Oryctolagus cuniculus: one gene and its partners. The protein of the gene in region 5 interacts with the protein of the main gene of each other region in a pairwise test. Links are inferred from orthologs where the notes say so. Each region holds a gene or a part of one and is shown on either strand. Other genes may lie near its edges. The genes, in order: FOSL2, RFX3, CCDC198, SAP30BP, FHL3, SPMAP2 and CNNM3.

Region 1 (3,500 bases), on a different chromosome or scaffold from region 5:
ACCTGTTGCCAGCAAGGGTGGCACACTCTGGCTCAAGCCCTCTGGTTTAGGTGGGGGTGGACGCCATTGATGGAACCTGTGGCGGCCAAGTTGTATTTTCTTAGGGTTTTCCCATGTCCGCCTCTTTCATGAATGAAGCTGGAGCAATGCCCTTGGTACTTCATTCTGCCCTTGTGAGTCACCCCTGCTGCCCAACTGCCTGGACCTGGGGAGGAGCTGAGAGAGGCAGTCAGCCTGTGTCCTCCCTCCCGGTGACCGGCCAGGATAGGGCCAGGGAGACCTCACTGCCGGCACTTCCCTGTCCATCCTGCAGCCTGGCCCCTGGGTGTTGGCTGTGTGCTGTGTGAGCTCTGTGAGCTCTGTGCTCTGTCCCCAGGACAGGTGTCCACCCCCCGCCCCGGGATTCGCTCTGCACAGGCGAAGCCCTCCCCATGCCCCTGACCTTCCCCCGGCCCCGTGTGTCCGCGAGGGCTCTTCGGACCACCAGCTCCAGATGAGTCCTGCCCCCTCCGCTGCCCAGGGCCCTCTCCTGCACCCTCCCCTCCTCCTGGGAGCCACACACCCTCCCCTCCCCACGCCCCCCCCCCCTCCACGCCCTGCCCCAGCCACCTAGGCCCCTGAGCCACATCCTCCACAGGAAGCCTCTCAGCGGCACATGACATTTGTCAGACCCTTGAGACCAATGGAAACTTTTTTTTTCACTCCGGAATATGCTGTGCTCTGGCTCGCGGAGCTCTTGCCCGCGCCGCCTCATCTGTGAGCAGGAATCCACGCTAGGGAAAAAGTGGGCAGGAGGCCGGGGACACACACCTGCTCCCCTCCCACCGCCGCCCGCCACGTGCACTGGCTGGCGTCTGCTTCCCTGGTTTGTGTGAAAGAAGGGGGCTGGAGTCCTGGCCGTGACTCTGGCATCCTCACAGTCCCTCGAAGCCTGTCGGAAGCTACAGCAAAAATAGAGGAGGGGATGTACAGATTCCCCCAGGCACTGGCTGAGCCCCCTCCTTTTATAATTGCTTATTTATTTGAAAGAAATTGAGGTCGTCCTTCCACTGGTTCATTCCCCAAATGGCCACAGTGGCTGGGGCTGCGCTAGTCCAAAGCCAGGAGCCTGGAATTCCCATCTGGGTCTCCCACGTGAGTGCAGGGGCCCAAGCACTTGGGCCATCTTCTGCTGCTTTCCCAGGCGCATTAACAGGGAGCCGGAGTGGAAGCAGAGCAGCCGGGGACTTGAACCAGTGCTCTGGTGGGGGATGCTGGCATCGCAGGCAGTGGCTTAACCTGCGGGGCCACGATGCTGGCCCTGGCTGAGCAGTTCTCAGAAGCCGGGCACTGCCTAGGCTCTGTGGGACAGGAGTAGGCAGGATGACGCCCGCTCCCCCATGCCGCTGAGTGTGTCCCTGGTGAGCGGGCATGGGCTCGAGGCAGCCGTAGAGGAGACAGGCAGGGCTGAATGCTGGCTTCCTTCCTGCATGGACCCTGGGCTCAGACACTGGGACTCAGATCTGGGCTGCCCTGCCTGCTACCTTGGGTAGATCACTAAACCTCCCTGAGCCTCGGTGTTCCCCTCTGTGAAATGGGTTGATGATAACACGAACTTCCAAAGACTACGGGAGCACTGGATGAAACTCCCTGAAATGCTCAATGCTGTGCCTGATGCCGTGACAACAGCCACAACTGTAGGTTCACCCCTCCTCCCAGCAGGCTTTGCTCCTGCGGAATTAAAGGGAATCTGAGCCTCCACGTGACTCACAACCAGTGGGGTCTGTGGCCAGAGGTGTGAGCTGGCTGGGTTTCCCTCCGTGGCCCCCCCAGCCCCCGGGGCCCTAGGGTGCTGTCTCTCACCTCTCTCTCTCCCTCCCCCACCCCCAGGAGACAGAGGAGTTGGAGGAGGAGAAGTCAGGCCTGCAGAAAGAGATCGCCGAGCTGCAGAAGGAGAAAGAGAGGCTGGAGTTCATGTTGGTGGCCCACGGCCCGGTGTGCAAGGTGAGCCCGGAGGAGCGCCGCTCGCCCCCCGCCACCGCACTGCCGCCCATGCGCAGTGGGGGCGGCGCGGTGGGCGCCGTGGTGGTGAAGCAAGAGCCCCTGGAAGAGGACAGCCCCTCGTCGTCTGCGGCGGGGCTGGACAAGGCCCAGCGCTCGGTCATCAAGCCCATCAGCATCGCGGGGGGCTTCTACGGCGAGGAGCCCCTGCACACCCCCATCGTGGTGACCTCCACTCCCGCCATCACCCCGGGCACTTCGAACCTCGTCTTCACCTACCCCAGCGTCCTGGAGCAGGAGTCGCCCGCATCGCCCTCCGAGTCCTGCTCCAAGGCGCACCGCAGGAGCAGTAGTAGCGGGGACCAGTCCTCGGACTCCTTGAACTCCCCGACTCTGCTGGCCCTGTAACCCAGCCGCCTCTCCCGCCAGCTCCAGAGGGGCCCTCAGCACCACCGCCTCCCCAGGGACCAGCACCTTGAAGCCTCTGGGGCCGCGAGGACCAGAGTGGGCTCTGCTGGGGAGCTGCCCGGCTCTGCTGGACAGCTGGGACCCCGGCTGGGGCGGCACGGGGCGGAGGTGGGGACGTGGTCAGTCTCTGGGAGGCCACGGGGCCTCCCTGTCCTGCGTCTTGCAAGCAAATCCTGTTTCTTGAAAGGCCTCGGAGAACCTGGCCTGCGGACTGGGCGACACCGGCTTCCGAGGAGCCTGAAGCTGTCCCCTTGAAACCACGCTGCGCTTCCCGCCCTGCCAAGCATGCGCAGTGCCTTTTGGGTCCTCCTTCCCCCACCTCCGTGTCAATTTCGCTCCCTCCTGGTTTTATTTTTTTTTTAATCGAGTTTGCCACGACATTTCATCCGGGTGGTCTGAGTAGTGACTCTTGTTTCTGGACATGGGGCAGCAAATGACTCCTGCGCTGGGGCGGACTGTGCAGAAGGGGACGGTCAAGTGCAATACGGAACCCTCGGTCCCCCGACGCTCCCAGGCGCGCCGGCATCTCCGAAACCAGCGGTGGGGCTCCCTGGGCTCGCGAGGGGGAGCCCCCTTCCTTCACTGGCAACCTCCTGGCCCTCGGAGCAGCGGCACAGCCGGAAGACAGGGTGTGAGAGAGACAGCCGGGACACAGGTTGGGTTTGCCAAGCGCCTAATTACCAGGCCAGGAATAGTGCCAACAAAGCCACCCGGGTGTCCTAGCCAGCTTCCCCTCCCCTGTGTCTTGAGCAGGGTGTCCCCTGTAATTACTGCCTCGCCACTCTGCCCCTGGACCCTCGTCCCTGCCTAGGCACGGCACAGCACTCCAAGTCCCTGCGTGCCTCCGCCCTTCTCCTCAGGGTGACGCCACCCACGGAGACTTAATGAGCGTGGCCTGGACCCTCCCCAGACTGCGGCTGGGCCACTCCTCCCCAGGCCTCATGGAGGAGGAGCCCCTGCAGGCACAGTGGATGGAAAGACCAGGTGAGCTGGGAGGCCGCCACTGGGGTGCACCTACAGCCGCAGCCCCAGGCCCGCTTGGCCCCTCAGCA
Region 2 (4,281 bases), on a different chromosome or scaffold from region 5:
AAAATACAACAGCATTCAGAAATAAAAGTTTTGTTAATATACAAATCTTGAGTAGTTTAAAACTTTGCCTTAAAAAAAAAAAACACGTTTGGAAAATAATTAACTCTAAAAGTAGATTCTACTAACAACAAAAGCAAACGATGCCACCTGCTTTTGGACAGCCCTTTTGTGAACCACTGGAAGTCCCAACACAAAGCAATAAAAAAATGAAAGTGACACCTGTTTAAAGCAGCCATCTGTCCCTAACAAGCTAGATTTTAGTCAAATCCACTTACTCCTAGATTTCCAAAAATGGGAACACTATGCACCTGTGAACAGAAAGAAATTTGAAGTCTATTTTGTGATTGCCACTAGGAATATAGCAAAGAATTAAAGGAAAACGATTCCACTAGGGAACCTATTTATTTTTAAAGTAACTGAAAGTAAACAGGGGATCTTTACCCAAATACTTAGCAAAAAATAAAAAAATAATAACCAGCAGACTCTTCTTAAAAGTTTACTTCTTTGGAAGCCTCCTTTCTTTTAGCATATCCTCATTATGAATACCAAGAAAAAAGTAACATACCTATTGGACTGTTTAGGAAAGTTGTTTTTTTTTTTTTTTAACTTTTCCTACACATCTGATGCTAAAGCCAACCTTCTAAACACACATATACACACACAAACACACACATTTAAAAGATTTGAAAAGCAAAATCATCATACTCCACATAACTGATATCTTCAGTTGGAAGCTTAAAGGAATGCTCACACAATAGGAATTTTCTCAAAAATACTTTAAAATATTATCCAAAGTAATAAATACAATGCATGAAATTTATCTCAATTTAAAACTCACTCATTTTTAAATGCTATTTTTAACACTTAAAAATATTATCACAATAAATACGTTTAGGGTATAAAAACTGTTTAGGGTTCAATCATCTTCAACTTATAAACTACAAACTTCTAATAAGACTACTTGAACATCAGGAGAATAATACACTATTTTAAACACAGAGCATAACTATCCCATATAAATGAAACATTGTGAAATGATGCAAAACATCTGAGAATGCTTTAGTTTACCATACAAATGTATGATGTCTATACCACTTAGTACAATTCACAGTCAAAACAAGACAAGCATTATGACATACATTGAACCACAGGTACTGAGCTACTCAAAACAAGTTTCAAGGGACTCCTATTTAATGATTTTAGTTCCAAACCATGATCACCCTCACAGATTTCTATTAGTCTAAAATCTGAAAACAGAGAAACCAGTATGTAATACAGTCCCTCCCTGCAAAGAAAAATGATAGAAAAAATACACTAAATGCTAAATATTTATCCTGTGTTTAAATCTGATTATATTTCTGATTATTTAATCAGTTCAGATGAATAATGTCAACTCACTTAATCTAAAGCATCTCTAACAACTGTTATACCATATACATGCTTTAAAAGGATAATTTAAATAAAAGGATTCAATTTAAGTTCTGCTCTCAAATCAACGTATAAACAAAAAAATTATAGAAAACCTTAAAAACACATAATGAGTGAAATGCCTCAAAAAAGTTCTTAAACACTGCAAATAAAAATATTAAGGCAATAATATTATAGCATATAATCTACTCAATTAAAAGCCAATTACGAGAATGGCATATGGTCTGAAACTGTCCCAAGACAGCAAAACTCCTATTAACTTCAGAGAGAGTTTATAGGACCCAGGAGCTTCACCATCCAAAAGTGTTCAGGCATTTGACACTCATCTGAACAGAAAAAAAAAAAAAAAATACAAGTTAGTATGAGAGATTTGCACCAAATCCAGGATCCAGGTTGGGAAGGAAAGAAATAATTATTAAAAAAAAAAAAAAAAAAAAAACCTGTGTGCTGTAAGAAAAATTTTTTTCAGAACCAAATATTTTCATTTAAAACAGCAATCAGAAGGAAACGAATTGAAATGAATTTTTTTAAACCCCCAACTCTGATTTTATAAAATATTAGCCTTAATAGCATTATAATTACCCAATCCGCTCATTGACAATCTCAAGAATAATTAATACTGTCACATTATTCACAGGCTGCTCTGTCAGTTAAATCAATATATGTTTGCTGTCAGAAAAAAAGACTATTTAAATAAGCATTTTTAAAATCTAAATTGGCAACTTCACACGTAATTTTAATGGCACATCATATTTTTTAACAGGCATTCATTATCAAAACTCTTTACTGATAATCTATTAATTAAAAGTTAGGCTGAAGCATGAACAAATTAAGGGGATCTATAAAACTGGGTTAACTCTAACCAAGTACCTTATTACTTGAGGACTGAAAAGTATTCACATCTAAAGAGAAAAACCACTTTTCCAAAGAAAGACTTAAAAAGGAAAAAGTTCTCTTTCCTGAGCAGTTTAAGTTACTGTCCAAAGAAAACCAAAAAGTAAATAAGTACCCACATGCCTAGATCTTAACAACCACAAAGAAAGTGAAATATACACACGTTTCAAGTTGAGAAGCTTCATACATTCTTTATGAACAACTTGACTTCAATTTCAACTCTCAAAGGAAAGCGAACACAGAAGACGAAGAAGGAAAAAAAAAAAAAAAAAGAAAGCCTCTTAAAGTACCCTAACTGTCAGAAATAACGCTGTAAACTGAGTTCTCACAAAGCTGCCTGGCGTCCTCCCCCTGTTCATCACACCCGAGTCTCAGAACCACAATGAAAATTGCGAACACTCTACGCCGGGGAGGGCGGCTCGTCCGAGTGGAAGGGAACCTCGCGGCCACCCTCCCAGCTCCACAGGAAGGATAAAGCACTGTCAATAACTAGGAACCAAGTATCACAGATGCCCTGCATCCGGTTTAAATCGCAAGCGCGCGCGCACACACGCGCACACACACACACGCACACGCACACACACACACACACACACCCCAGAAGAGAGAGACCAGGGAGACAGGGAGAGACTTTTAAAAAAAAAAAAATCTCCTTCGCAGGGCGGCCGGGGGAGCCCGGTCTGGAGGCCCCCAGTTTCCCTGTGTGTACAGGGGAGGGGGGAGACGGGAGAGGGGGAGGGAAGAGTGCGGAATGGATAGCAAGACTGTTTGCAGCACAAAGAAAATACAGTTTTAAAAGAAGAGAGAACACCGTGAGGCTGATGATGATCAAAGCAGAGCAGCCCACGGAGCACCAGGCAAAGAGGGGCCAACACGAAGGGAATAAGCTGTGGGAAAAGTTCACCGACGTACGAGGACAAAAATAACAAAACCCGTCACAAGGCCCCACAAGTGAACCGCAACAACAACAAAACACCACCTCTCGGGTCCCCCCCCTCCCCTGGCACATTGTTGTCCACGTCGGTTGGGAAAGAAGCAGGAAACAAGCAGCTTTGAAAAGGAAGAAAATTAAAGGGGGGAAAAAAGAGAGAGAGAGAAATCCGTCTCTGTTCACCTGACCCTCCTCCTCAGACCAGAGCTAGGGGAACGCTCCAGCATCCGCCTCGGAAAACTGTGGCTCCCTCTCCCGCTCGGCTCGCAGCCCCCCGAGCTCCCGCTCCATCCCTGAAGTGCGGCCGGCGCAGGGCCGGGCGAGCGGCGCCCACACCCCCGACCCCGCCGCGGCGCGCAGGGTCCATTGTAAACAAGCCCGGGGGACGGAGCCCCCGGGCAGCGGCGCCGCGGCGGCAGCCCGGGTGTCAGGAGTGAGACCCCCGCACAGCCACACTCGGCTCGCACACACGGACACACACACGCACGGACACACGCGTTCACACGCCGCCACACGCTCCCACACACATGTAGAGACCGAAGAATATTCACCTTGGCTGTGGATTATTGTGGTGTTGTTGGTGGGTGATGGAGATGGTGGTGGTGGGGAGGAGGAGGAGGAGGAGGAAGAGGAGGAGGAGGAGAGGAGTAGTTGTTGTTGATGGGTAACAGTCGCCAGGACTACGGTGACTATGGCGCTTGATTCACAAGGCAACGGTTGCTATAACTCACAAAAGAGAGAGAGAGGGAGAGAGAGAGAGAGGGAGCGAGAGGGAGAGGGAGACACTCGCACGGGGAGGGGTGGGGGAGGGAAGAGGGGAGGAGGCGGGCCCAGCGGAGTCGCCGGAAGGGGCGGGCTCAGCGCCGTGACTGACGGCCCCCGAAGCCGGGCGGCGCGCAGGGTGGGGGACTGGGGGCCGCTAGGCTGGGATTCCGACGGAGAACCCCGAAGAGGTGCGCTTAGGCTTGGTAGGGGCTGAGGTCACGGAGTCCTCTCAGAGGACTGCCACTACAGACGCTGGCGAAACC
Region 3 (3,500 bases), on a different chromosome or scaffold from region 5:
AATGACTCCACAACTAATTCAAATGCTCATCTAAAAAGCATATAACTCCTTCCCTTGGTATCTATGGGAAATTGGTTCCATATCTCTCACAGATACCAAATCAGGATGCTCAAGTCTATTATATGAAACAGTGTAGTCAGCGGACTCATAGAATGACAACTGCTTTAAATGGCACTCTGACCTCAGAATCAGCCCTTAAGGCATTCTGGTCTGGCTGAAAAGCCCATGAGAGCATTTTAGGCATGAAAAGCCAAGACATTGTGGCAAAAAAAAAAAAAAGTCCTACATGAAGGATCTCTGTGAGACCACAGTGGAAAGAAGGAGCCATTAAAGAAGGATGTACTTTTCTCTGAAGGGAAGAGAAACTCCCACTTTGCTTATGGCCCTGTCTAAATACTGATGGAGATTGTGGACTCAAAAGGCTTCCATAGCCTTGGATGCTCATGTCAAGAGCCTCAGGTGATCACTGACATCATACATAAGAGTGTTAATTGTTAAATTAACAACAGATGTCACTCTGCACTAACTTTCCATGCAAGACTTCTGTCCTCAACGAATTGTATTATGAGAATTAACCGTAAAACTTGTGTGTGTGTGTGTGCACGTGCAAATTGTTGAAATCTTTACTTACTCTAGAGTTGGTCTTCTGTATATAAAGTTAATTGAAAATGAATCTTAATGGAGAATGGGACTGGGAATGTGAGAGGGATGAGTGGTGGGGTGGGAGGGCGGATATGGTGGGAAGAATTACTATATTCCTAAAGTTGTACTTATGAAATTTATACTCATTAAATAAAAGATTTCTTTGAGGGAAAAAAAAACAAATGTAGTATTGGCATATAACCTATGTATACCATCCTGCATATTTTATATCTTCCCTAGGTTATTTATAATACCCTATACAATGTAAATGTTATTAAAATAGTTGTTATACTTTATTATTTAGAGAATAATGACAAGAAAAGAAAGTCTGTAAATTTTTAGAACAGAGGTAATCTTTTTAAAAAATATTTTCAATCTATAGCTGGTTGAATCCATGGAAGTAGAGCCCACAGATATGGACAGCTGATGATATAGGGATGATAGAGATGATATAGAGAGAAAGAGATATGGAGATGAAGATGGAGATACATAGAGATGATAACAGAGATAGAAATAGACAGAGATATATGATAAAAGTGATACTGTAGCAAAACATTGGATATGAACAGCTGATGATATAGGGGTAATAGAGATGATAGAGATACATAGAGATGATGATAGATAGACATAGATATATGGTGAAAGTGATACTGTATCAAAACATTGTCAATGGGTTGTGATTATAAAGATATGTATTGGACCATTCTTGTGACTTTCAGAAGATTCAAAAAAATTATAAATAACAGCTAAAATTTTTTAAGGCTTACAGAGTCACAAATTACAACTGTATCTATAAATATAAATACATAAAGTATATATAAGTATATATAGTGTATATGAATAATACCTATGTATTAGTATATAAGCAGATTGTTTTATGTTCATGAAGTCTAAACATGTAATAACAAATAAATCATTGTTAAGGAAAAGTAAATTAAATGAACTTTAAACTTTTTGTAGGAAACATAGAAAATGCAGAATTTTTGAAGCATCAAGCAAGAAATGACTATCGTACCCGGAAAATTGGCAAAATGGAAAAATGGATTCGTGAACAAGAGGCCCGGGGACAGCTTTTCTGGGATAGTTCTAGCTGTGACTCAGATGAGATGGGGACAGATGAGAAGAAACCACAAGCATTAGTGAGGACAAGGACGGAGAGAATTCCACTTTTTGATGAGTTTTTTGATCAAGAATAAGAATGTCATTCACTAAATACTGAATGCATTAAAATATTACCTTTCTGTCAAACTCTTCAAGTTAATATATGAATTATTGTGAGGAAAGCAATTCTCTTTTGTAAAAAGATATTACATCATTTAGAGTCTTATGGCTAGCAGGTTTGTTATATATGTCATTATCTGTTGCTGTGTAACTAACTGCCTCAAAACTTAGAGACTTAAACAAGAGCCATTTTAATGTGTCACTTTTCTGTGGGTTGCTGGGCTCTGCTAAGTGGTTCTTCTGCTAACCTCATGAAATTTTTCAAGTCATTGAAATACAATGTCAGCTAAGACTGGAGTCATCTGAAGGCTCAACTAGGACTCTAAGACAGCTAGACCATATCCCCTCTCCATATAATCTCAAAGCCTTGTCACATATGCTCTGCAGCAGAGTAGTAAATTTTCTTTCCTATCAGTCTAGGGATCCCAAAAGCAGATGTCCCAAGAAAAGAAAGCAAAAACAGTCTTCTTAAAGGTTGGTCATGAGACTGGCTCTGAATCACGTGCACCATATTCTGAAGCTCAGGCAAGACTGCAGTCAGTGTAGGAGCCTACACAATGGTGTAAAGGCCAAAGTTGCTCCACTAGGGTCCACCTGTGAGACTTGTTACCACATCACGCTCTTTTATTTCCCCCAGAAACCTTTTACTTAAGGTATATAAACTTCACGCATTTCATAAAAACACCTTTAGGAACATAGTGATGGTTATTCATCCCACCGTACCCACCCTCCCACCCCCACTCTCACCCTTCTTCCTTTTCCCTCTCCAATTCCCATTCTTATTTTTTACTAAGATCTACTTTCAATTACCTTTATACATAGATTAATTCTATACTAAGTAAAGAGTTCAACAAATAGTATGAAAAAAAGCATTCTCAACTGTTGAGGAACTTTTTTTTTATTTCTTCTATGACCCACTGTTCATTCAGGAGCCTGTTGTTCAGTCTCCATGTGTTTGCATATGTTCTAGAGATTGTTGAGTTGTTGATTTCCAACTTCATTCCATTGCGATCAGAGAAGATGAATGGTATGATTTTGATTTTTCTTAATTTGCTGAGACTTGCTTTATGGCCTGGTGTGGTCTATCCTAGTGAAAGTTCCATACACTGGTGAGAAGAATGTTTTCTGCAACTGTAGGATGAAAAGTTCTATAGATATCAGTTGGGTCCATTTGGTCTATAGTGTCAATTAACTCTGCTGTTTCCTTGTTGATTTTCTGTCTGGTTGATCTGTCCATTGCTGAAAGTAGATATTGAAGTCCCCCATCACTATTGTATGAGAGTCTATGTCTCTCTTTAGATCCATTAGCTTTTGTTTTAAATAGTCAGGTGCCCTGCAATTAGGTGCATATACATTCATTATAGTCACATCTTCCTGTTGAATTGATCCCTTAATCATTGTATAGAGCCCGTCTTTGTCTCTTTCAACAGTTTTTGTGTTAAAGTCTATTTTGTCTGATATTAAGATGGCTATACCTACTCATTTTTGGTTTCTGTTAGTGTGGAATGCCTTTTTCCATCCTTTCACTTTCAGTCTGCTTATATGTTTGTTGGTGAGATGTGTTTTTTGTAAATAGCAAATAGATTTTTTTTCCATTCAGCCAGTCTGTGTCTTTTAACTGAAGAGTTGAGGCCATT
Region 4 (3,500 bases), on a different chromosome or scaffold from region 5:
TTATTGGGGCCGGTGCCGCGGCTCACAAAGCTAATCCTCTGCCTTGCGGCGCCAGCACACCAGGTTCTAGTCCCGGTCGGGGCTCCGGATTCTGTCCCGGTTGCCCCTCTTCCAGTCCAGCTCTCTGCTGTGGCCCGGGAGTGCCTGGGAGGATGGCCCAAGTGCTTGGGCCCTGCACCCCATGGGAGACCAGGAGAAGTACCTGCCTCCTGCCATCGGATCAGTGCGGTGCGCCGGCCGCAGCGGCCATTGGAGGGTGAACCAATGGCAAAGGAAGACCTTTCTCTCTGTCTCTCTCTCTCTCACTATCCACTCTGTCAAAAAAAAAAAAAAAAAAAAAAAAAAAAAAAAAAAAAAAGATTTATTTATTGGGGCCAGCGCTGTGGCACAGTGGGTTAAAGCCCTGGCCTGAAGCGCTGGCATCCATATAGGTGCCAGTTCTAGTCCTGGCTGCTCCTCTTCCAATCCAGCTCTTTGCTGTGGTCTGGGAAAGCAGTAGAAGATTGCCCAAATCCTTGGGCCCCTGCACCTGCGTGGGAGACCCAAAAGAAGCTCCTGGCTGCTGACTTCAGATTGGCTCAGCTCCAGCTGTTGCAGCCATTTGAAGAGTGAACCATTGGATGGAAGACCTCTTTGTTTCTACCTCTCTCTGTAACTCTGTCTTTCAAATAAAAATAAATCTTTAAAAAATAATTTATTTCTTTATTTGAAAGAGTTACACAGAGAGAGGAGAGGGAGAGAGAGAGGTCCTCCATCCACTGGTTCACTCCCCAATTGGACAAAATGGCCAGAGCAGGGCCAATCAGGAGCCAGGAGCCTCTTTCCAGGACTCCCACACCATTCAGGGGCCCAAGGACTTGGGCCATCCTCCATTGCTTTCCCAAGCCATAGCAGAAAGCTGGATTGGAAGTGGAGCAGCCGGGACTTGAACTGGCTCCCATATGGAGTGCCGGCAGCAGGCGGCATCTTTACCTGCTACGCCCCAGCACCAGCCCCTGCAGATAGTGCAACGCCCGCCTTCCTAGATAGCAGCACTGTTTCCTCAGGGTTGGGCCTCTTCACTGGCCCTAAGCAGCACAGGCATCGTCTCAGCTGGGCAGCACCTTCCTAGGGACACTCGGGTCACTGGCCAGAGGTGGGCCTGGATCCGGGCCGGGTGTGATTCTCCTTACCCTTGAAAGTCCAGGCCTTGCTCCTGGAGGAGGAGTCTCGAAGATGAGGGGTAACCCTCGATAAACTGGCTGGAACCAGCCATTTGTGAGCCAACCTGAAAAACTCTCCTGCTGCCTGCACCCAGAAGGACGGAGTCCCTCCCAGGAGCCTGTGACTCACAGCTCGGGGGCTTCCCCTCGTGCTGAGAACCAGCCTGTGTCCCTGCACGTCCGCTCTGGCGCCTCGGACTGTTCAGGCGATGCAGGAGCTGATGAAGCGGCTGGCGATCCGGTTGTCATCTCCTCCGTGGCCTCCCTGCCTCAGTCTTTACTCACCCTCTGTTACTCATCCGAAGGGAGACGCCGCAGACAGACTGGCCTGGGCTCTTCTGACTTGGGTCAGCTCTGTCCAGGCAGAGGCTGGGTGGAGAAGGAATGTGCTCCTCACAGCACTCGAGACTGAAGACTGGGACTGGGAGTAGGTGGGCTTCTGTCACATGCTCTTCTGCTCCTCTTCCACAGGACAAGATCCAGAAGCTGTATGAGCGAAAGATAAAAGAGGGAATGGATATGAACTACATTATCCAACGGAAGAAAGAATTCCGGAACCCTAGGTCAGTTTCCCCTGAGCTCGTGGGGCTGGGTCATTGCTGTTGGAGGAGAGCCGGGGCCAGCCCCAGGGAGGTAGTGCGGATAGACTCAGCTGAGGTCTCACCTGAGCTCAGACTCCCCCAGACTCAGACCCAGCAGGCCGTCCCAGCCCCGCCGGGGGCTACTGTGTCAGGTCCAGCCTCCACCCAGAAACCAGTGTGTGAGCTGAGAGCCCAGGGTGCTGGGCTGGAGTGGGGGCGGCAGGATGGCTTCTTGGCCTGCTCCGTTCCTGCCACACATGACCTCACAAGTCCCAGTGTCCTCTAGTCCAGGATGAGGAAGTTGGGCCCGATGACCAGTCTCTGGGTTCTTCTCCCAACTCTGGAAAGTTGGCTTTGCACGCAGATGAGAGGGTCCGGGACAGAGCTAGCTGTATGTGGCTCTCACTCTGCAGCCCTTGAACAAGTGACACCTGGATTGAGCACGTGAGTGGCAGCGTGGATCTTGCGTGGGCCTGAGTGGCAGGCCTGACCTAGCCTTGCATACTGAGGGTCGGAGACGCCCAGATAAGACGGAGCCGTTTCACCTGACCCTGTGCTCATCCCAGCCCCCAGCCAGCAGCTCCACTTCACAGGCAGGTGCAGGCCGGAAGTGGCAGGGCCAGGCCTCCCGCTGGGAAGTTGGAACAGCTGAACAGGGTCTAGAGGTCAGAGAGGTTTCCACTCCGCCCAGGGAGTCGGCAGGGACATGGGACGAGTGCCTGCTCAGTGCCTGTTTTGTTCTCCTTGCAGCATCTATGAGAAGCTGATTCAGTTCTGTGCCATAGACGAGCTCGGCACCAACTACCCAAAGGTGGGTCCAGTGCTCAGGCTGAGGGTGGGGGGGTTCCCTGGACCCTGGGCCGGCTCCACTGGAGTTGCACAGGAAGGTCAGTGGCACAGCAGTTCTGGTTGGATGGAAGAGGCTCCATCTCGCTCGTGTTCCTTTTCTGAAGCAGTCCAGTGAGAGACACCAGTTACAGATCTGGCCGCGAAGCTCTGAATATGTAGGGCCCAGGTGTGGGCTCACTGCTCCTGCAGATCAGCTGGGGGGTGCTGAGCGGTGCATCTACCCCGGAGCTGGAGGCCCGGGGTCGCAGTTGAACCCTCGTGCTGTGACAGGAAGGCGCTCCAGGCCAGGAAGGTCTATGGAAAGACTCAAGGGAAAGGGGCTTGTCACCTGACACTGCCAGTTGATCGTGGCTTTGACCTTTTCTTTCTCAGGATATGTTCGACCCCCATGGCTGGTCTGAGGACTCCTACTATGAGGCATTAGGTAACCTGCCTTCCATCTACCCACCTGCCTATCTGTCCAGCCAGGCAGTCACCCAGGCCACACGCATTCCTGAGTCTCCTCTATGTCAGAGGGCCTCCAAGGGGCTGCAGCACCTTCACAGTCTCATGAGACGGGCCCCCATCCCTGACTCACAAGGCTGTCATACAGCGAAGGAGACAGATGGCTGAGCCAGTAATCCCCGCACTGACGAGGCTTACGATGGGGAGCTGGGACAAGCAGGGATGCCTGACCTGCTGCAGGGGTTGGAGGGCTCGCGGAGGAAGTGGTGTTCACGCTGAGCTTGGAAAAGTGCAGGGGCCGGGCAGGCGTGGGCAGGATACCAGGCACAGTGGTGTCTTGAGGGCCCGTTAGGCAGAACTGGGAAGAATTGAAGAGGCTGCAGGCCCTTGAGCCGCAGGTCTATTTTTTTTTTTTTTTTTTTTT
Region 5 (3,819 bases):
AGGAATGCTGTTCATATATGGGGAAGGGTGGGGTGGCGCCTGCCCTTGCCCCTGCTCCTGCCACCCCGGGGACAGTAGGGACAGTGGCGGTTAAGCTCAGGCTGGGGCAGGAAATGAGTCACTGACCCAGGAAAAGCCCCCTCCCCCAAGATCTGCTCCAGCCTCGATAAGAAAACAACTTCTGCTTCCTGGTTTTTTCCTGACCCCTTCCTACCCCAACTGTTCACTACAGAAATAAACCTGCAAGCCTCCACGGTTTCCAGAAGCCCCCCCCTGCCCCATCCCCACCTGCTGCAACCTGGCATTTCCTATGCCTGGTCTCTTGCTCTTTTGTGAATGCAAAGAATGCTTGCCAGGGGCTAAGCCACAGCCCCTCCGGGTGACTGCGGGTCTGCATGTGCTCCCGGCAGGGCTGACTCTTGTCACCACCATGAGCGAGGCATTCGACTGTGCCAAGTGCAGCGAGTCCCTGTATGGCCGCAAGTACATCCAGACAGACAGCGGCCCCTACTGCGTGCCCTGCTATGACAACACCTTCGCCAACACCTGTGCTGAGTGCCAGCAGCTTATTGGGCATGACTCAAGGGTAAGGACCCGAGCAGGGCAGGGCAGGGAGCAGGCAGAGGGTGGCGGGAGGGGGCAGAGGGCCGCAGTGCCAGCACCCCCTGCCTGCCCCGCCCCTCGCAGGAGCTGTTCTATGAAGACCGCCACTTCCACGAGGGCTGCTTCCGCTGTGGCCGCTGCCAGCGCTCGCTCGCCGACGAGCCCTTCACGTGCCAGGACAGCGAGCTGCTCTGTAACGACTGCTACTGCAGTGCCTTTTCCTCGCAGTGCTCCGCCTGTGGGGAGACCGTCATGCCTGGTACGTCCCCGGCGACTCCGCCCGTGGCAGAACTGGCGTTCGTGGAGGGCCTGTGCCTGTGCTGGGGCATCCCCAGAGGCCAGGCGTGTGTGAAGGCCTGCACGTGCAGCATGGGGTGGAAATTCAGTGTGCGCACCACCTGTTGTGCTTACACGCTCTTGGGACCTCAGCATGCATGGGCATCGGTATGCTGAGGCCAAGACAAGCAAGCCTGGTACGGTGCTGAGGATGGGACTGTGCGCCGGGCCAGGTGGCCTCTACACCCGTGGTGGAACAGCACGGATGAAGACTTGCATGTCCGGTACATGCAGGAGCTAAGGGTGTGCTGAGACTTTCATGCTGGGTGCACTGGGGTCTGGTGCACGCAGAGGGTGTAGTATGTGTGGGAATGCATACCTGATAGGTACCTGGGGACTTGGCACATGTGGAGAGTGATGTGCCCAGGAGACAGAGGACTTAGCATGTATGGAACCTATCACACCCAGGGCTTTAGAACTGGTGTGGGCAGACTTGCTTGCCTTGCATGTGTAGGGTCTCATGAGGATGCTGAAACCACCATAGCTCAGCTTACAGAGACATCACGCCTTTTTTTTTTTTTTTTTAAGATTTATTTTATGTATTTGAAAGTCAGAGCTACACAGAGAGAGAGAGAGAGAGAGAGAGAGGTCTTCCATCCGCTGGTTCACTCCCCAATTGGCTGCAAGGGCTGGAGCTGCGCTGATCCGAAGCTAGGAACCAGGAGCTTTCTTGGGTCCTCTCACATGGGTGTAGGGGCCCAAGGGCTTGGGCCATCTTCTACTGCTTTCACAGGCCATAGCAGAGAGCTGGATTGGAAGTGGAGCATCTGGGACTCAAACCAGCGCCCAAATGGGATGCCAATAACTGCAGGCGGCGGCTTTACCCGCTACGCCACAGCGCCGGCCCCAGATGGAGTCTTGTTGTGTGCTGAGGAAGTCGCACCTGGGACACATGGGAGCTAAATCATACACTAAACCCTCATGTCCACTTTAGGGGCCTAGCATGTGCTGAGCCGTGGGGTCCAGCATTTGGGGAGGTTCCCATTTGCAGTGTGTGGGGGGTCCTGCTGCATGTGCATGGATGCCACCCTGTGCGAGCAGTGGGAGCAGTGGGCATCTCCTGGGGGAGGCACGGGGGCGGGTGGCCCTCAGGAGCATGGGGCTCAGCCTCTGAGCAGGACTGCTGTTCCCCACAGGGTCCCGGAAGCTGGAGTACGGAGGCCAGACGTGGCATGAACACTGCTTCCTGTGCAGCGGCTGTGAGCAGCCGCTGGGCTCCCGCTCCTTCGTGCCCGACAAGGGTGCTCACTACTGCGTGCCCTGCTATGAGAACAAGTTTGCTCCTCGCTGTGCCCGCTGCAGCAAGGTGGGGGCTGGGCCAGGGAGTGGGGCTGGGCAACACTGGTCGTGGGGTGGGCAGGCCACTCAGCCTCACCCTGCCCATGGCCACTGCCCCCTCCAGACGCTGACCCAGGGTGGAGTGACGTACCGCGACCAGCCCTGGCATCGCGAGTGCCTGGTGTGCACCGGGTGCCAGACGCCCCTGGCAGGGCAGCAGTTCACCTCCCGGGATGATGACCCCTACTGTGTGGCCTGTTTTGGAGAACTCTTTGCACCTAAGTGCAGCAGCTGCAAGCGCCCCATCACAGGTGGGACAGGAGCCAGAGGGCGGGGTGGGTGTGGTGCTGGGGGAGGCTGAGGGGCAGGACTGACACCGGCATCCCTGCAGGACTCGGTGGGGGCAAGTATGTGTCCTTCGAGGACCGCCACTGGCACCACAGCTGCTTCTCCTGCGCCCGGTGCTCCACGTCCCTGGTGGGCCAGGGCTTCGTGCCGGATGGAGACCAAGTGCTGTGTCAGGGCTGCAGCCAGGCAGGGCCCTGAGCCTTCAGAACCAGGGCTCCAGGACTACGGCCCCTCTTCGCAACCCCCTCTGGGACCCAGCCCTTCCCCCAAATGGGGCTCCCCCTGCCCCCAGCGACCTCTAACTGGTACTCCCCAATCCAGACCTGGACTCCAGGACCCAGCCCTCTCCTCCATAGTCGGGGTTCTCAGAGCAAGCCCACTCCCCACATCAGGCCTGTAGACCCCAGCCCTTCAAACCTGAACTCTGGGGACCTAGAGCCCCCTTAAATCTGGACTACTCTCCAGAGATTTTAGGTGTCTTGCAGGAGCCTGGGAAGTCCTCCAAATGGACTGTACTCAGGCTTGAGCCCTGGCCCATCCCACCCCGGTCCCCTGGGCTGCGGGGAGGGGGCTGTCTGGGCTGCACCTGGGGAGGCTCCCCCAGTTAAGGGGCTCTGGGGTACAGGTGCTGCCCAGGCTGTGTCTGTCGAGTGTCTTCTCGTTTTATTTCAGCTGCATTTTGCCCAGAGATGGGCAGAGGGAGTGGGATTAGCCCGGCCCTCTTCCAGATTCTGCAATAAAGCAGTGTGAGGAAGCCAGGCGTCTGTGTGTTTGCCTGGGACCCTTTGCGGCTCTTCTAGACTTTCCGTGTCCCCGGGCAGAGGCCCAGGGCTACGAGTGCCACAGGGTAGGAGTCTGCCCCCCGGAACGGGATCCCTGCCGAAGCTACCGTTCCGGCAAGCTCGCCCTGCCTCCCCTCCTGCTGGCCGAAGGCTGCTTCTCTCCCGTGGGGAAGGGCGGCGACGGGGAGGTTCCAGGCAGGAGCGGGGCTGGCGGCGGGGCGCCCTCCCCCGGTACAAGCCGGCCTCTCTCCTAACTGCCCTGCCCAAATCCCGCGGAGCCTGCACTCGGTCCTGAGCCCCAGTCTGGGCCCAGACCCTCAACCCCCTTCCCCTTCTTCCCGAAGATTAGCGGGGGCGGCCCGGGATCTGCTCGCGGCCGCACGTTTTTTTGCCAAAAAAGGCAAGGATGCAGCTGCACGCGCCGCGGGAACATCTGGATCCGATTCCCAGCATGAATGGGTCACGGCCCCGC
Region 6 (4,291 bases), on a different chromosome or scaffold from region 5:
CTGCAGAGCCAGGAGGGTGCACCAGTCAGCTGAGCCCACTGGGTCCCCCTTCTGTGGCCTGGGATGGCCTGGGATGGCCCCCGGGAGAAGCCGGGGCAGCAGCTGACCTGAAGGCGGCACGGTCCCTGCTGGGCCTGGCCTGTGGGAAGACTGCACAGAGCCTTTGGAAGTGTGAGACCCACAGCCCTGTTCGCTGCCTGCCTTCCCTGCGCGCGGCCGAGGGAAGCCGCTTCCACTTGTTTGCTGCCTTCCTGAAGGCACCAGGCCCCCTCACGGACCCCCTGCCCCCTGGGAGAGAGAGAGAGAGAGAGAGGGAGAGAGAGAGGGAGGGAGAGAGGGAGGGAGAGAGAGAGGGAGAGAGGGAGGGAGAGAGAGAGGGAGAGAGAGGGAGAGAGAGAGGGAGGAGAGGGAGGGAGAGAGGGAGAGAGGGAGAGGGAGGGAGGGAGGGGGAGAGGGTGAGAGAGGGAGGGAGAGGGAGAGAGATAGAGGGAGAGAGGGAGAGAGGGAGAGGGAGGGAGAGAGAGGGAGAGAGGGAGAGAGGGAGGGAGGGAGGGGGGAGAGGGTGAGAGAGGGAGGGAGAGGGAGAGAGATAGAGGGAGAGAGGGAGAGAGGGAGAGGGAGGGAGAGAGGGAGGGAGAGGAAGAGAGAGGGAAAGAGAGAGAGAGAGGGAGAGAGAGAGGGAGGGAGGGGGAAGAGGGTGAGAGAGGGAGGGAGAGGGAGAGAGATAGAGGGAGAGAGGGAGAGGGAGGGAGAGGGAGAGAGAGGGAGAGAGAGAGAGAGGGGAGAGAGAGAGGGAGGGAGGGGGAAGAGGGTGAGAGAGGAAGGGAGAGGGAGAGAGGGAGAGGGAGAGAGGGGGAGAGAGGGAGGGAGGGGGGGAGAGAGGGAGGGAGGGAGAGGGGGGAGAGGGGGAGAGAGGGAGAGGGAGGGAGAGAGGGAGGGAGAGAGAGGGAGAGAGGGAGAGAGAGAGGGAGAGGGAGAAGGAAGGAGGGAAAGAGAGAGGGAGAGAGGGGAAGAGAGAGAGGGAGAGAGAGAGGGAGAGAGGGAGAGAGAGGGGGGAGAGAGGGAGGGAGAGAGGGAGAGAAAGGGAGGGGGGAGAGGGAGAGAGAGGAAGAAAGAGAGGGAGAGAGAAAGGGAGAGAGGGAGAGGGAGGGAGAGAGGAGAGAGAGGGAGGGAGGAGAGGAGAGAGGGAGAAGAGGGGGAGAGGGAGGGGAGGGAGAGGGAGAGGGAGAGGGAAGGAGAGGGAGAGGGAGAGGGAGAGGGAGAGGGAGAGGGAAGAGGAGAGAGAGGGAGGGAGGCCGGGATGCCTCCCAGAAGCCCCTGCTGACCCTGCTCCAGTCTCTGGCCAGCATCCCGGGAAGGCAGGTGTGACCTCCAGGAAGGACCCGGGTCCAGCACCTGCAGGGTGGGGGCGCCGCCCGCGCTGAGCCCCTCCCCCACCCCGCCCGGCCCGTGGTTAGAATGTGGGCGGCGCCTTCTCCTGTCGCCCTGGTGACCGCAGATCCATTTGGGTGTTGCCAGAGCTAGGACGCAGGTGTGCGGAGGGGACCCGGCCCATGGAGGACCGCCGCTTCTCGGAGGCGGGGGGCGGGCCCGGGGGCGGCCAGGACGAGGCCCTCGGCCTCCGGGGCCCCGTGTACAGCAGCCTGCGGTTCAAGGACCCCAAATACCGGGACCCCGAGGATGCGGACCTGGGGCTGGAAGACCAAGAGGACGAGGAGGTCCCTGCTGAGGAGGTGGCCGGGGACGAGCCCCCCGGGCCCGCGAACCAGGAGGACGCGCTTTCCGAGTCGGAGGGGGCTCCGGACAAAGATGCAGAGGACATTGCGGAGATGAGGTGTTCGGGGGGGGGTCGGGGGTCAGCGGGGGGCGCGGCGGCCCCCGCTTTCGGAGTGGAAGAGAAAAGCACACGCAGATGGCCGGGTTAGGGCGCGGGCCTGAGCACTTGGGGGGCGACTTCCGGCCACGTGCACCGCGCCCCCCCAGCGCCTCCTGTCCCCCTCAGGGCTCCCCTGGCTGACACCTGCTGGCTGGTGGGGCAGGGCTGTTCCACCTAGGGTGAAGCCACGCCCCTCCCTCCCAGAGAGCCCAAGGGGCCCTGGTGGGGGCGGGGGGGGCGAAGTGGGGCTGAGGGCAGGGGCAGCCAAGGCCCTGCTCCTGTGGCCCCGCTGTCCTGCACCACAGGTGCTGGAAAATGCTTGAGAGTGGAGTGGCTGTGAGCCCTGCGATGGTCCTGGGAGCTGGGGCCGGCCTCTCTCTCTATTTACTTATTTGAAAGTCAGAGGAGAGAGAGAGAGAGAGAGAGATCTTCCCTCCTCTGGTTCACTCCCTAGATGGCTGCAAGGCCAGAACTGGGCTTGTCGGAAGCCAGACGCCTCATCCGGGGCTCCCACGTGGGTGCAGAGGTCCAAGCGCTTGGGTTGTCCCCTGCTGCTGCCCCAGGCCATGAGCAAGGAGCTCAGTGGACAGTGGAGCGGCTGGGACTTGCACCTGCGCTCACGTGGGGCGCCAGCCTAACCCCCTGTGCCACAGCACCCCCATTCCTCTCATAAAGGGGGGAGCAGGGCCTTAGGAAGCTGTGGGGGTGGGGGGTGGTGCTTCAGGCCCTGGCCCATCCCCACCAGGGAAGCCTGAGAGGACAGCAGGTGGGCGGGGCGGGCAAGGGCCAGGCGGTGCCAGCCCCAACACCGACTCTCCCGCAGTCGGCTGTCCATCACCCGCACACTGCCCCGCTGCTCCATGGCCAGAGGGAGGCGGCAGCGGCGCCGGCTCCTGGAGCTGGCAGAACCCAAGACCAACTGGCAGGTCCTGAGAGACAGGTGAGGGCCGGCCAGGCCTGGGCCTCACTGGGTGGGGCAGGTCCAGGTCCTCGGAAAGGTGGCGACCCCGAGCTCCCACGGGGGTGGGGTGGGGGTGGGGGAGGGGCCGCCAGGGAACAGAATCAGGATCCCAGCGGTGGGGCCTGGTGGGGACGGTGGCCCCTGGGGTCCTCAGGGCGGTGGCGGCGGACGGCAGCAGGGCGTTGGCCCTGTCTCGTCGCAGGATGAGAGGCCGCTGTAGGGGCTATGCGTGGATCACCCCATGCAAGACCACCTTGCACTTCTGTCTCTATTGGTAAGTCCCTCGCCTGCTCCCCACCTGCAGCTCACGTGGCCGCGGCGCCCGGCCAGGGAGGGAGGGGCTTCCAGGTGGGGGCTCCCTCACCCACACGCTAGCCCCGGACCTGGCTTCAGGCAGAGAGGACCTGGCCACTCCCTCGAGAAGCTGGGGCTCTGCTGGCGCTGTCGCCCCTGGCTCACCTCCCTCCGACTCGGCACTGGTGCAGGCCCAGGAGGCTCAGGACGTGTCACCCACCGTGTCCAAGGCACTCTCCCAGCTGCCCAGGATCTCCAATGTCATGGCTGTCACTGGAATTCTAAATAAACTCGAATCAGAACCCTAACCCTAACCCTAACCCTAAATCCTAGCCCTAACCCTAACCCTAGCCCTGACCCCTAACCCTAACCCTAACCCTAACCCTAACCCTAAATCCTAACCCTAACCCTAAATCCTAGCCCTAACCCTAACCCTAAATCCTAGCCCTAACCCTAACCCTACCCTAACCTTAAATCCTAGCCCTAACCCTAACCCTAACCTTAAATCCTAACCCTAACCCTAACAATAAATCCATAACCCCTTACCCTAATCCTAACCTCTAACCCTAACTTTAAGACTTAGTATTGACCCTAAATCTTTAACCCTAACCCTAAATCCTAACCCTAACCCTAAATCCTAACCCTAACCCTAACCCTAAATCCTAACCCTAACCCAAACCCTAACCCCTAACCCTAACCCTAAATCCTAACCCTAACCCTAAATCCTAGCCCTAACCCTAACCCTAACCCTAAATCCTAGCCCTAACCCTAACCCTAAATCCTAGCCCTAACCCCTAACCCTAACCCTAAACTCTAACCCTAACAATAAATCCGTAACCCCTTACCCTAATCCTAACCTCTAACCCTAACCTTAAGACTTAGCATTGACCCTAAATCTTTAACCATAACCCTAACCCTAAACTGAAAGTCCTGTCTCTAAACCACTAACCCTAACTATAACTCTAAAACTATAATAATCTTCTGGCCATCTCCCTAGCCCAAAACCCATAGCCCTAAACCCTGAAATTTAACAAAACCCTAACCCTAAATCCTGAACCCAACCCTAACCCTAAATTCCTAACTCTGTTCTCTAACCTTAACCCTAACCTAACTTCAAATCCTAGATCCCTAACCCTAATCCCAACCATAACTCAAGTCCC
Region 7 (4,129 bases), on a different chromosome or scaffold from region 5:
GTGAGCCGAGCATTTAAGACACCTTGAAATGTGACAGCTTAGGCCATCAAAGGGACAGCTGTGGCCTCTATACAAGTTCCCTACGCAGAAGGGATAAAGCCTGCACTTGCAGTGTGACCTCTGCTACTGGTTCCCCAGGAGTAGGCGAACCTACCCATCTGCAGAGCTCCCAGCCGTGAGCAATCATCACCCTCCTAGCAACGAACACCCAGGCCCCGGCGCCCCGCATCTCCTCTCCCCGATCCTCTCATTACCCCTCCTATCGCTAACCACTGAGGACCCTGAGCCGGGAGAGGCAGGCAGCCTTCCCTGGGCCCAGGAGCACAGTGCAGGCCAGGCAGGATGGAACGCACTTGGCTGACTCCAGGGCCACACTGCTGACCACCACGCCTCGAGAGAGCCCACTGTTTGGGATCTAGACAGAGTACTTGCCACCAGCACGCTGTGTCTGGGCCCCACACAAAAGCCCTCCCCAGAGTAGGGCTGCATGGCCACGTTGAAGGGAAGGAGCCAGGGCCCCCAGAGAGTCCACCAGACCAGACACAGCTGTGGGTCCAAGAATTAAAAGACATGTGGAGTGCAACGCACCTACCAGGGTTTGGCCCGAGGCTGTGCCCAGTGCAGGAGGACCATGGTCACTCCTGCCAGGGCTGTCGGAGGGCTCTGCTCACGTGCTAACAGCCCGTCCACAGCACGGGGTGCCCCCACCCCGATCCTGCGGGAGTTCAGGTGAGAGAAGCACATAGCACCCCCAAGGCTGACAATGCAGACGGCTGCAGAGGGACCCACATTTCACACGCTGAGGGCCTGTTTTACCTTCAACCTTGGAGTCACTCAGAAAAGCCAGGGTTGAAAGGAGGGGTGAAAAGGAGCTAGAGGAGAAGCTGAGAGACCCTGAGGGGAGGTTTAAAAAAAAGGGGAAGTCAGGGGAAGGAGAGATTAAATCAGCATCCACGAAGCTGCTTCTGATGAAATCAAAGAGAAAGTTCTCTCCATACCTGTAGGAAAGGAGGAGTACTGATGAGTCATGCCCTTGTCACTCAGAAAAACAGCCATCAGCCAGGGACCCCACCAACGCCCTGGGGACACCACAGGGGCAGCTAGGCCCGGATCTGGAAGCCACCTTCTCCGTGTCCTTTTAGTTTCTATCCAAGAGTTTCAATCTGCTACATCCGACCCCAGGCACAACAGAAATGGCCTGGGAGCCGGGAAGACCCGGGAGGTTTAGAATCAGTGAGAGGTATGTCCCCAACACGGGGGCCACCGTGGAGAGAGAGAGAGAGAGAGAGAGAGAGAGAGAAAGAGAGGTGTTTGCGTTCCATGGCACTCTGTCCCCTCTGAAGGGCGGGGTCCTTAAACACTTTAAAAGGTCATTCCCATCTGCAACGCGACCACCCTCTTAAAACCGGCCCTTAGAGGGCCCCCTGCCCTCTCCAGGAGTGGGGCCTTTTCCCCGACGGCCCCATGAGCCCCCTCTCCTTCCCCAGGGCCAAGCTCGGGCACGGACATCCCCTCTGCGGTGCCCCAGCCGTTACCTCGCTTGAACTCCTCCAGGACGGCGTCCAGCTTGGTGTCGTTGAAGACGAAGTGCAGCGGGTGGTTGTAGAAGCGCGTAATGGTGCTCAGAGGCGTGCAGTCTTCCGGGTCCACGAAGGCCAAGTCCTTGAGGTAGAGCATGTCCACGATGTTGGAGCGCTCCTCCTCGTACACGGGGATGCGCGTGTGGCCGCTCTGCATGATGCTGGCCAGGACGCCGAAGTCCAGCACGGCGCTGGCGTCCAGCATGAAGCAGTCCTCGAGCGGCGTGAGCACGTCCTCCACCGTCCGGTAGCGCAGCACGCCCTTGCTGAGGTCGCTGTAGGGGTCGCCACCGCCGCGTGCCAGCTCCAGAACGCGCTCGCGCAGCCGCCCGGGGCGCGCCGCCAACTCCAGCAGTTGCCCCACGGGCAGCGCCACCGGTAAGGTGAGCAGCACCGCCAGGCGGCTGAGGCCGAGCGCGCGCGGCGCCAGCGCCAGCGCCCAGCGCCCGCTCACGGCGGCCGGCACCACCTCGCCCACTAGGAACACCAGCCCCGCGCAGCCCAGCACGGCGGGCACGGCGCGCTGGCCGGCTGCGCGGTACAGCAGCACCGCCAGCGCCGCCTGCGCCAGGCTGGCCAGCAGCAGCAGCGCGCCCAGGGCGCAGCCGGCCCAGCGCCGCGCGGGCTCCAGTCGCCGCGCCGCCGCACGCTCCGCCTCCGAGCCGCTCTCGCGAAGCACCTGCACCTCGGCCGGCGCCAGCGCCAGCGCACTCAGCTGCAGGCCCCGCGCCAGCGCCGCCAGCGCCAGCAGCCCGGCCGCCCCCAAGCCCAGCGCCCAGGGTGGCGCCGCCTCCTCAGCCGCCCCGCCGCCCGGCTCCACGCGCACAGCTAGCAGCGCCGAGTGCGGGCGCACGGTCTCGGAGCGCAGGCACAGCAGCGCGCGCCACTCGTCCGTGGGGGCCGCCCCCGCCTCCTCCTCGGGCGCCGCGGTCGACCCACTCTCGGGGCAGCCCGACCCCTTCGGGGCCACCCAGGTCCAAGAGCTATTGGCGAACCCGGAGCCGAAGAGGCGCAGGCGGAAGGTGGCCTCCGGCGCGGCCCGCACCGCTCCTCCGTCCTCCTCCAGACAGAAGCCCAACACTCGCAGACCTGGCGTCGCCTCCCCCGCGGCGTTGCCCAGGCAGAGCGCGGCGAACAACCAGCCCAGCCGACCCGCCGCCGCCGCCGCCGCCGCCATCGCCTGCTGCCCCCTCTCGGCCTCTCGCGCAGCCTACCCCGCTCGTCCCGCGGCCTCCGCCTCCCGCGGCCCAATCATGACCGGCCTTCGCGCCCCCTCGGCCAATAGACGGCGGGCGGGGGCGGGCCCTAGGGTCGGACTAGGCTGCGCCGGGGAGTAAACAAGCGGCGGCGCGGGGCGGGCCGGGGGCGTGGGGTTCTCCGCCCCAGCGAGCCCCGCCGCCGCTCCGAAGGCACTGGGTGGCCGGCTCTCGGAGGACGCGGAGCCGCGAGCTGGGGCGTGGCGGGGCGGGCAGGGCCTCCGACCCGTCCCGAGGCCTCGCGGGAGCCGCGGGCCCTTGCTCGGGACTGGAGCACTGAGCGGGAGCGGGTGCTCGCCTGAGCCGCGGGTCCCGGCGTACCTGAAGTTGCTGACGGAGATGGAAGCGAGTGGGAGCGTGCTGTTTTCCTAGGAACGGGCCCTGGGAGCCAGAACCAGCGGCTGGGGTTGTGCCGAGGTTTAACTGCGGCTGTAGGCCCCGGGACGCCAACACAGGCCCTGTCTTCAAGGAACTCGCTTTCCCGCCGGGGAGACGTGTGGTGGAAACGTGCACACGAGATCCCAGCCTCACTGGATCCTCACAGCTACTCGGTGTAACTAGTGTCTGACAGGAGAAAGGCGAAGTCCAGGAAGACTCCGCGGGCGTGTTGGGTTCCGAGGCGTCGGGACGCCCCGGCCACCACCGCCACCGCCGTAGCCGCGATGTCAGGAATCCCTGCCCGGCTCCTGGCAGTCCGTCAGTCCGAGGCCGAGAAACTCGCACGGCCTTTCTAGTCTAACTGCATTCAGGCTGGCCCCTGCAGCTGAGCTGTATTATTTCTTCTCTACACTTTTGCGGTGTTTTTTTTTTTTGTTTGTTTGTTTGTTTTTTTTTTTTTTTTTTTTTTTTTTAAGGCGGATAGCCCCGTGCCAACTTGCTCTGTCATGAAAACGACAGTTTATAAGTTTAGGGGAAGATGTTTAGCATGGCAGTTAAGAAGCCCCTTGGGACACCACATTCCATATAGGCATCTGGACTTGAGTCCCAGCTCCACTCCCGATCCCAGTTTCCTGATCATCTGCACCCTGGGAGGCAGCAAGATGGCTCCAGGATTTGGGTCCTGGCCACCCACATGGGTCGATCCAGATTGAGTTTCCAGGTCTGGCCTCCTCCTGGCCCAGCCCTGGCTGTTGGCAGCATTTAGGGAGTGGACCAGCGGATGGCAGATTCTTTCTCTGTCTCTGCCAGTCATATAACTTAAAAAAAATTGTTTAAAAAATTAAAAAGTACGCAGAGTGGCCACAATCAAGTGAAACATATCTGTGTGGAAAGTAATGTGCAAAAATGAGTCTG

The links.
Region 1: the proteins of FHL3 (region 5) and FOSL2 interact in binary tests that used the Homo sapiens proteins (3 or more experiments, as listed by UniProt). The two-hybrid records come from large-scale screens. The link is inferred for Oryctolagus cuniculus from reciprocal best matches to the Homo sapiens genes FHL3 and FOSL2.
Region 2: the proteins of FHL3 (region 5) and RFX3 interact in binary tests that used the Homo sapiens proteins (3 or more experiments, as listed by UniProt). The two-hybrid records come from large-scale screens. The link is inferred for Oryctolagus cuniculus from reciprocal best matches to the Homo sapiens genes FHL3 and RFX3.
Region 3: the proteins of FHL3 (region 5) and CCDC198 interact in binary tests that used the Homo sapiens proteins (3 or more experiments, as listed by UniProt). The two-hybrid records come from large-scale screens. The link is inferred for Oryctolagus cuniculus from reciprocal best matches to the Homo sapiens genes FHL3 and CCDC198.
Region 4: the proteins of FHL3 (region 5) and SAP30BP interact in binary tests that used the Homo sapiens proteins (3 or more experiments, as listed by UniProt). The two-hybrid records come from large-scale screens. The link is inferred for Oryctolagus cuniculus from reciprocal best matches to the Homo sapiens genes FHL3 and SAP30BP.
Region 6: the proteins of FHL3 (region 5) and SPMAP2 interact in binary tests that used the Homo sapiens proteins (3 or more experiments, as listed by UniProt). The two-hybrid records come from large-scale screens. The link is inferred for Oryctolagus cuniculus from reciprocal best matches to the Homo sapiens genes FHL3 and SPMAP2.
Region 7: the proteins of FHL3 (region 5) and CNNM3 interact in binary tests that used the Homo sapiens proteins (3 or more experiments, as listed by UniProt). The two-hybrid records come from large-scale screens. The link is inferred for Oryctolagus cuniculus from reciprocal best matches to the Homo sapiens genes FHL3 and CNNM3.

The regions. Positions count from the first base shown.
Region 1 is NC_091433.1:174,525,328-174,528,827, reverse strand, and holds part of FOSL2 (fos-related antigen 2), read left to right. Parts: intron 1-1,869; coding exon 1,870-2,388; 3' UTR 2,389-3,500.
Region 2 is NC_091432.1:165,827,287-165,831,567, forward strand, and holds the start of RFX3 (transcription factor RFX3), read right to left. Parts: upstream 2,801-4,281; 5' UTR 2,508-2,800; coding exon 2,486-2,507; intron 1-2,485. UniProt on the Homo sapiens protein: Transcription factor required for ciliogenesis and islet cell differentiation during endocrine pancreas development. Essential for the differentiation of nodal monocilia and left-right asymmetry specification during embryogenesis.
Region 3 is NC_091443.1:19,327,603-19,331,102, forward strand, and holds part of CCDC198 (factor associated with metabolism and energy), read left to right. Parts: intron 1-1,602; coding exon 1,603-1,838; 3' UTR 1,839-3,500. UniProt on the Homo sapiens protein: May be involved in tuning the metabolism, energy expenditure, and excretion processes.
Region 4 is NC_091448.1:4,910,115-4,913,614, reverse strand, and holds part of SAP30BP (SAP30-binding protein), read left to right. Parts: exon of another isoform or gene 1-1,673; coding exon 1,674-1,765; exon of another isoform or gene 1,766-1,825; intron 1,826-2,533; coding exon 2,534-2,594; intron 2,595-3,004; coding exon 3,005-3,056; intron 3,057-3,500. UniProt on the Homo sapiens protein: Plays a role in transcriptional repression by promoting histone deacetylase activity, leading to deacetylation of histone H3.
Region 5 is NC_091438.1:134,807,740-134,811,558, forward strand, and holds the end of FHL3 (four and a half LIM domains protein 3), read left to right. Parts: intron 1-410; coding exon 411-586; intron 587-687; coding exon 688-862; intron 863-2,075; coding exon 2,076-2,245; intron 2,246-2,341; coding exon 2,342-2,528; intron 2,529-2,608; coding exon 2,609-2,763; 3' UTR 2,764-3,319; downstream 3,320-3,819. UniProt on the Homo sapiens protein: Recruited by SOX15 to FOXK1 promoters where it acts as a transcriptional coactivator of FOXK1.
Region 6 is NC_091447.1:58,263,992-58,268,282, reverse strand, and holds the start of SPMAP2 (sperm microtubule associated protein 2), read left to right. Parts: upstream 1-1,491; 5' UTR 1,492-1,553; coding exon 1,554-1,834; intron 1,835-2,699; coding exon 2,700-2,816; intron 2,817-3,039; coding exon 3,040-3,111; intron 3,112-4,291. UniProt on the Homo sapiens protein: May be involved (but not essential) in spermatogenesis.
Region 7 is NC_091433.1:110,906,312-110,910,440, forward strand, and holds the start of CNNM3 (metal transporter CNNM3), read right to left. Parts: upstream 2,801-4,129; 5' UTR 2,758-2,800; coding exon 1,536-2,757; intron 1-1,535. UniProt on the Homo sapiens protein: Probable metal transporter.